Macaca fascicularis: one gene and its partner. The protein of the gene in region 2 interacts with the protein of the main gene of each other region in a biochemical or structural test. Links are inferred from orthologs where the notes say so. Each region holds a gene or a part of one and is shown on either strand. Other genes may lie near its edges.

Evidence for each region. The genes of interacting proteins can lie anywhere in the genome.
Region 1: the proteins of DLG4 (region 2) and SIPA1L1 form a complex in vitro, tested with the Homo sapiens proteins (2 studies listed by BioGRID and IntAct, with this or other methods). The link is inferred for Macaca fascicularis from reciprocal best matches to the Homo sapiens genes DLG4 and SIPA1L1.

Annotation. Positions count from the first base shown.
Region 1 is NC_088381.1:139,586,510-139,590,075, reverse strand, and holds part of SIPA1L1 (signal-induced proliferation-associated 1-like protein 1), read right to left. Parts: intron 2,590-3,566; coding exon 2,527-2,589; intron 2,088-2,526; coding exon 1,969-2,087; intron 1-1,968.
Region 2 is NC_088390.1:7,264,673-7,268,979, forward strand, and holds the start of DLG4 (disks large homolog 4), read right to left. Parts: upstream 2,862-4,307; 5' UTR 2,745-2,861; coding exon 2,559-2,744; intron 1,966-2,558; exon of another isoform or gene 1,475-1,965; coding exon of another isoform or gene 1,445-1,474; intron 1-1,444. UniProt on the Homo sapiens protein: Postsynaptic scaffolding protein that plays a critical role in synaptogenesis and synaptic plasticity by providing a platform for the postsynaptic clustering of crucial synaptic proteins.

The sequences.
Region 1 (3,566 bases), on a different chromosome or scaffold from region 2:
TAAGAGAAAAGAACAGAGAAGGAACTGTGTGTGTGCATGTGTTTGTGTGTGTGTCTTTTGGTGGAGGAAGGAGCAGGCTCTTCATTGGCTAAGGGGAGGGGCAGGAGTAGGATATGCCAGTTTCTTTCTTTCTTTCTTTCTTTTTTTTTTCTGACAGAGTCTTGCTCTGTTGCCCAGGCTGGAGTGCAGTGGCATGATCTCAGCTCACTGCAACCTCTGCCTCCTGGGTTCAAGCGATTCTCCTGTTTCAGCCTCCAGAGGAGCTGGGACTACAGGTGTGTGCCACCACACCTGGCTAATTTCTTGTATTTTTAGTAGAGACGGTTTCATCATATTGGCCAGGCTGGTCTCGAACTCCTGACCTCAAGTGATCCACCTGCCTCAGCCTCCCAAAGTGCCAGGATTACAGGGGTAAGCCACCGCACCCAGCCACCAGTTTCACCTCAAAGTGAAACATCTCTTCCCCTTGAAAAAAGAATCAATCCCAGTTACTTTATTGGTGTTACTCTAGCTTTCCTCAATAACAACTTACTAAGTGCTGTAATAAAACCTTCATTTATTCTTAATAGGACAGAACTTCTTTAGCTCCAGACCTGTGCTGGGAAATCTGGTGACCCTTAGTCATGTGTGGCTACTGAGTACTTCTAACATGGCTGGTTTGAATTGAGATGTACCAAGAGTGTAAAGTATATAATACATTTCTACAGAAACATAATGGGAACTATACATGTAATATTAAATTTTCTAGTAGCCAAATTTTAAAAAGTAGAAAAGAAACATGTGAAATTAATTTTAATAATATATTTTATCTAGCCCAACCTGTCCAAAATATTATTTTATCATGTAATCAGTATAAAAATTATTAATGAGGAGAAATTTATAGATCAGTTGGGATAACCTATCATTTACAAGTAGAATTGTGACAATATCACATTGTCACAACTTGTCTCAGTAAATATTTTCCTCATAGAAAGATTCTGCTCAGTAGGCTGGATGCAGTGAGCTGAGTTCGCGCCACCGCACCCCAGCCTGGGCGACAGAGCGAGACTCCATCTCATAATAAAAAAAAAAAAAAAAAAAAAAAGAAAGATTTTCCTCAGCAAATCTTTTTCTTCAGAGCAAAGTGCAGGGCATGCTCACTCTCCCTTGTTTTTTTTGGCTCAATATTCATTTTTCTACAGCAAAACTTACATGCATCTCTCATTTAAAGTTCTCTGGGCATCTTCCATAGTGAACTAGTAAGCATGAAATACAGTATTTCCTCATTCTATAGAATGACGTGAATATAAACATACACATTCCAGTGAACAGACACACCAAGGAAATCAACCGCATGGGGAGGGCATCCCATCCCATTAGCAGTATCAGGGAAGAAGAGTGAGGAAAAAAAAGAATAAGAGGGGGGTTGGAGAATGATAACCTCATATTCCCAATTTTACTGTAAGTGAGAAGGAAGTGTGTATTACTATAGCAAAAGGATGAAATGTGTATGGCTATGAAAGATAAGAGAAGCGGTAGAGGAGGCACAGGGGAAGCTGTCTGTCTCCTATTCCTCCTTTACTGCAGCAGAGTCAAAGATATGGTTGGAGCATCAGTCCTGCTGGAGTCCTCCCATGGCTGGAGCAGGACTGACACTCTAACCACATCTCATGCTTGCAATTGTGTAAGCAAAAAAAAATCAACTTCTAATACATTTCCATTCCTAACATTCCAGGATTGTTAGTGATTGAATCAGATGACCAGACCTGTGGGTGTGGCAGAAGCACAGCAATGAGGAATTACAATTTATCTCAAAGCAATCGAAAGGCCATAGCAGCAGAAACTGCAAGGCCATGGCAGCAAACGACCACCCTTTGCCAGAATGATTTCCTCTTTGGCCATGTAGAGAAAACAGCAGAGCATTTTCACAGTGCAAGGAAGGTACACTGCTAGGAATCTAATATTTTTTTAAGTTTACAGTTAACTTACATGCCCTTGTTTGTTTGGAGACAAATGAACCACTGGATCCTGCCGCATTAATCTCCCACTGGGGCTCTCTCGGAAAGCTGGCAGTACCTTTGATACTGCTGGGAGATGGCATGTTGGCTCTGGAATACAGCATAGGACATTATGGTGCAGGCACTAAGCAGAAACAAGCACATGGTGACAAATGAAGATGGCTTGCCATTGCATCTTTCAGTTCACTGACCAGCAAACTCTGCATTTCAGCAGTAAGCTTGTTAAGAGTCTATATGATAGACAGCAGGTCAGAAACTTAAGTGGCTGATGGATAAAGCTTGCAGCTGGTGACAACTTGTCACATCATACACATTAGCATAGCCAAGTACCACCAAACCAAAGGCCATGAACAACGCAGCAAAGTTCAGAATCAACTTTTGGTTTGGGGGGAAAAATTTGGATTATATGAATTAAATTTATGAAATTCATTCATTGCCAAGTGTGGCTAACCTAGCTTGGTCTACATTACCTAGACAGGCATGGATGCAATCACGTGTTACTTACCATGACACTTTGGAAATATTTTACCTGTATATTCATGCTGCTCGAGGACAAAAGAATTGAAATCCTGAGGTCCTCTATAACTGTAAGCTGAGCACAACAGAAAAGACACACAGCAACTAGTTTACTTAAAACAATTGCTTCCTTTGGGACTCCAAGCTGGCGTTCAAGATGGGGTTCCAAAAGTGAGAGATAAAGAACTTATCCTCCATAACACCACTACAGCTAATAGCAAGAATCCTGGGCCTCTGAAACACCCTTCCTAACACGTAGAGGACAGGGCAAAATACTCCTTGACTCTGACTCTCGACCATTTCCAAAAGCAGAGGCAGAAAAGCAAACAGCCATAAAGGTAAGTGAGCCAAGTCAGTAAGTTAAACTCCTGTCTCCACTGTCAGGAGGGTACCTGTTGATACAATACACTGATGCCTAACCAATAAGAACCTCGTAAACATTCTCAATCAGTGCAAGTCATTAGAGAATGCTGTTCTTATAAACTGAGTAGAGAAAGGTCAGCCCATTATATACTCAATATTGGGTACTGAGTAATAAAAATGCAACAATTATTTTTCTTGACTTCTCCCTGGAATGGCTTATACCAGCTAAGCCTTCTGATTCCGTCTGATGTGCCAGTTAGGAAAGGCTGGGTTATTTTTCTGGAATGCTGGGATATCAAAAATTATTTTTAAAATTATTTTAACATTTTATTTGAAGGGTTGGATTTTCAACGGTGAAAGGCCACCACTTGGACCTCTTGTACTGTGGTGAAAGGCTTCTTTGGCAGACTTCAGGGGTATCTTATTTTTAAAAAAGGTATACCTTATGAAAAAGATAAACAAATACGTTTTAAAAATTCACCTACATTCATTTTTAAGTCTTATCTATTAAGAGTGGGATGCCACTAAAGTAAAGTGGATGCAGGGAAAAAAAGACCAGAGGGAGGTTAGTGTGAGAGAATGAACAGGGGTCTAGGAAGAACCTTGTAATTACCCTTTCCATCCCTTCTCACACTGTGTGACTTCCCGAGTGTGGCAGGCATGACACTGCACGCCTCACAAAGGGCTTGC
Region 2 (4,307 bases):
TGTGGGGGCTCCAAATCTAAAGGTCCTCAGCCCCCAATCTCTTCCAACCATCCTCACACGTGCACAATGCATGTGTACACACATGTGTGAGTTTGTGGCAGGGAACATGTGTGTCCTCAGCTCCCTCCCATGAAAAGCTGCAGTTCCCACTAAATATAACCCCCTCCCCAGCCTGTGACTCACCCGGACCCCGCCTCCCCCGGCCCCCACTTCCTGTCCCACCCCCCAGCCCCCAGCTGCCTGCCACCCGCCCAAGCCTCCCTCCACACACCAGGCATCCAGCTCTCCAGTCCCAGAGTCTCCAAGCAGAGCCTAGGTATCCGCATCCCACCAGGAGCTCGCCTGTGCTCCATCCAGGATCTCCTGCCTTTGCCAGGCTCCAACCAGAGGGACACTCTTGCACAGATCCCCACCGCTGCCAGCCCTGCCCTCCTCCTACACCTTTTCACCCCGGTAACCTCAGTACCCTCGGTCATAAGTCCTCAGGGACCCTTAAATCCTGGTGTCCTCCCCCATCTTGATCCCAAGCGTCAGGGGTATCTGGAACAGTCCCCCCATCTGCTCTTCTCCCTCTTTCTTGACCAGGGCTAGATACAGTGTGGGAGGAGATGGGGACATTGGGCCCCTGCCTTTGGGCCACCCCCAAATTGTGCACCACCCACCCGGTCCCCCTCCTCAAATCCCCTCTCTCCCTAAGCCTCTCATCCTCCTCCTCAGAGGCTGGCAAGCTCGGCTGCTGCAATCTTCTGCCTCCTATGGGAATACCCCCACATCCTTGCCTCACCTGGTCCATTCCCTCAGGTAATCCCATGCCAGGGCCCCAGCCCTCTGACAACTTCTAACTACCTCCATTCTATATGACTGAACCCTAAATTAACAGTTCCCTCAAATTGAGAGTGCATCCCTAAATGCAGCCACGAGATGCTTGTTCCAGAGTCTGAAGGCCCACCCCTTCCCTGCCAGCTAACACCCCAGACCAGTCAGGCACTCACAACCAATAACCTTTACCCCCATGCCAGGAGCCCCCCAAAACTGGACAAGGCCCTTGGAAGCCAGCTTTTCCCTGGGGAGGAAAGAGGAACCCCCCCAGCATAGCCCACCTTCCCACATACACCAGCAGGACTTCCTTGTGAGCCAGGCTTCTCCTTAAATAAGTCTCCCTCAAACAGCGCTGGTGAACCCCGAAACCCGCCAGGCCCCCCAAACCATGGAATATCCTAAATTTTCCATTTCCCTACAGGTACAAAGGGATCACTCCAGGGGGCACCTGTGGCCAAATCCAGCATTTTCTCAGATGTGAACCCCAAAACTAAATTAAGACCCCCAAATACATCTTACTTCTGATGCTGCCACTCCAGGGACGCCAGTCCCAGATAAGGCCTACTAACCCCTCCCCACAAACTCATGCCCTCCCCCCAGTTTATAGCCCCCCCATCATGCTTACCTTGGTTGTCACTATACAGAGACAGTCCATGTTGGGGGGCCTGGCCGCGGCGGCGGGTAAGGGGCTCTGACTTCATCGGAGTTTCGTTCCTCCCCTCCGTGGGTTCTCACCCCTCCCCCCTCCGCACCCCACTTTTGCAGGGGGGGCCAGGATGGGGGGAGGGGTGAGAGGGGAAGGAGGGGGTTGGAGAAGGGAAGGGGAGGGGAGCGTGGGAGGGGAGGGAAGGGGGCCCTAAAAGGGGCTCCCCAATGGAGGGGAGGGGGCTTGGGGAGCACACCCCGATTCTCAGGAGGGGCGGGGGCACCGGGGGCTGGCAGCCCCGGAGTTCGGGGGCTGGGGCATGAGCTGGGGTGGGGGAGGGGAACTGGATTTCGGGGAGCCCCGGGGTAGGGGGGGATCTTGCCAAACGGCCAGGGGCTAGGGGCCGTGGCGGGGGAGTGGGGTGGGGGGGTTGGAAACGGCAGCGGCCGAGGGAGCCGTGGAGCCGAAGAGGGAAGGGGAGAGAGGAGGAGAGAGGAAGCAGGGGGAGGGAGGGAGGGAGCTAGGAGCCAGAATGGGGGGGTGCCTTGGCAGAGTTAACTCCTTCCGTGCTGGCAGGAACCCGGATAATGGGAAAGGAGATAGAAGCAGAAGCACAGAGGCCCTGAGGCAAACATGGAGACCTGGCCAGCCACCAGCGATGACAGCAAAGACGATGAGGCTGGATTTCATTTCTTAGAGAAGGAAGCACCTATAGTTGGGCTGGGAGCACCCATGGTTATTTGAATACGGGAGGGAGGCCACGACAGGCGGTAGGGGGTCGGGTATGAGGGAGGGGCTGCAGGAGGCAATCCCTGGGGGCCTAGTTCTGCCTCAGGTTTCTCAGGGGGAAACCTAAAAAGCCTTAGACTCTTTAGTGCCTGAAATTGAGGCAGCCAAAGAAAAGGAGGAAGAAAGGGAGAGGGGGTACAGGACCACAGAGAGTGCATTCTCGGTGCCCCAAGTCCCTGGGCCACCGACTCAGTCTTTCGTCTGCAGGGCCCCCAAGTTTCCATATAATATTAGCAATATTTGCCTCACCCCTCCAGCCCTGCCTGCCCCTCAGGAAGTAAGGCGCTCGCCCCCACCTCCTTACCTGACTCTCTGAGAGGGAAGCCTCATAATAGTCCAGGATGTCTGCCACAGAACAGAACTGAGTTACCTCCCCATTCCAGGCCTCTCCAGACACATCACCCCTGTCATCACCGCTGCTGTCCGGCTGGCAAGGGAGGAGCCCTTTCAGCCAAGGCTGGTCCACACTCATGGAGGACACCATAGGCATGACCCTGCTTGGGGCTCCAGCTTGGACCAAATGATTTCCAGGCTCCCAAACAGCCCCCGAAGTTCAGTAACGGACAGCCCTTGGAGGCCCAGGTCCCTCAGAAAACGGGCTACTCACCCAGCAAGGCCTGGAAGAGGTCGCTATGCAGCACTGTGAGGAGGGGGGGTGCCCACCGCAGCAGCGGGGGTGCCAGGAGCCAGAGGGCTGACCTGGGAGCTAGTGCGATGCAAGGAGAATTGGGACAGGGAAGAGGCCAACACAGGAAGACGAACACACTGTCACTTCATCTCCCCAGCCTGTGCCCTTCACCCCAAGCCCTATGGAAAGATTCAGGGAGAAGGATCCCTGAGCCCCAGCCCCCCACTTCAATCCCAGACCTCCCCTCCACAAGGACCCCTGTTTTTCACCTCTTGGTCTCTGGGACATCTCTCTCTTCTCTCACTTTAATCTCCCTAATCCTCCAGGATTGGAGTTGAGCTGCTTCTCCCCACTAAATTCCAGCTGTGAGTAAAGTAGGCCATCTCTGAACCGACCAGCTGTCCCATTCCCCCAGGTCCCAAGGCACCAGCGCCGCCACCATCTTGCTGCACACACCCTGGCCCGTCTCCCCATAGGCAGGCAGAACCTAGCCACACTCTCCTAAGAAGCCAGCAAAGAGGGCCTCCTCACAGAGGGCTCCAGCAGCTCAAAAAGAAGCTGACCCCAGCTCTCTCTCCTCCAGGGCCTCCTCTCACCCCAATGAGAATTGCAGAGAGAGGGGTAGAAATTGTTTGGAACTTCCTGACCTAGGGCTAGAGAAGTTGGGGTTTCACAGGTAAGAGGCAGGAGAATTCCTGCAGTTCCTCTCAGGCCCGGGAGGATTCCATCTGCCTGGGCACATGGTCTCTGGAAGTAACAGAGGGCAGAGACAGAAGGGAATGTTCAGGAAGATCTCAGAGGCTTTATTAAGGGAAGCGCAACGAACCTGGCGGGGCCTTCCCACTGGGAAACTGTAGCTGCTTCAAGAGTTAGTGAAATGGTTTACGTCTCAGAAGAATACACTTAGGGCACTCACACCCTAGCTTGGGTGCCCCCACCCCCCGCCCACCGTGCCCTCCCTTTTGTGTTGGCCGAGACAGATTTCATCAGGAACCTTAGAGTCTGTTTTTCGGTGCCTCTATTTCTGCCATCTACCTTACACTTCTCTTTCCCTACTTCTCTCTTCTAACCCCACCGGAGAAGCCCTCCCTTCAGTCCACCTCCATCCCTCTGGCTGCAGTGACTTAAGCCCCTTCCTCTTCTGTCCCATCCTATCCCATCACCCCGTCGGAGGACTAGACTCTAGTTCGGACGGGCGGGATTAAGGAGTTTGGGGGAGACGAGAGACGCTTGGAGATCCCCCTAGGTCAGCGGAACGCAGGGCCGGGCTCCAGGGAACTACAGCTCCCAGCATGCCCCGGGGCCCGCAACCGCCGCCGCCCGGTGCACTCTGGACGATGAGTCAGGGCTAGGAGGTCCAGGACTTGGGCGTACAGGACGCCAGAGCTGGGTCAGCGCTCCGTCCAGCGACGCCCGGAGAGACTC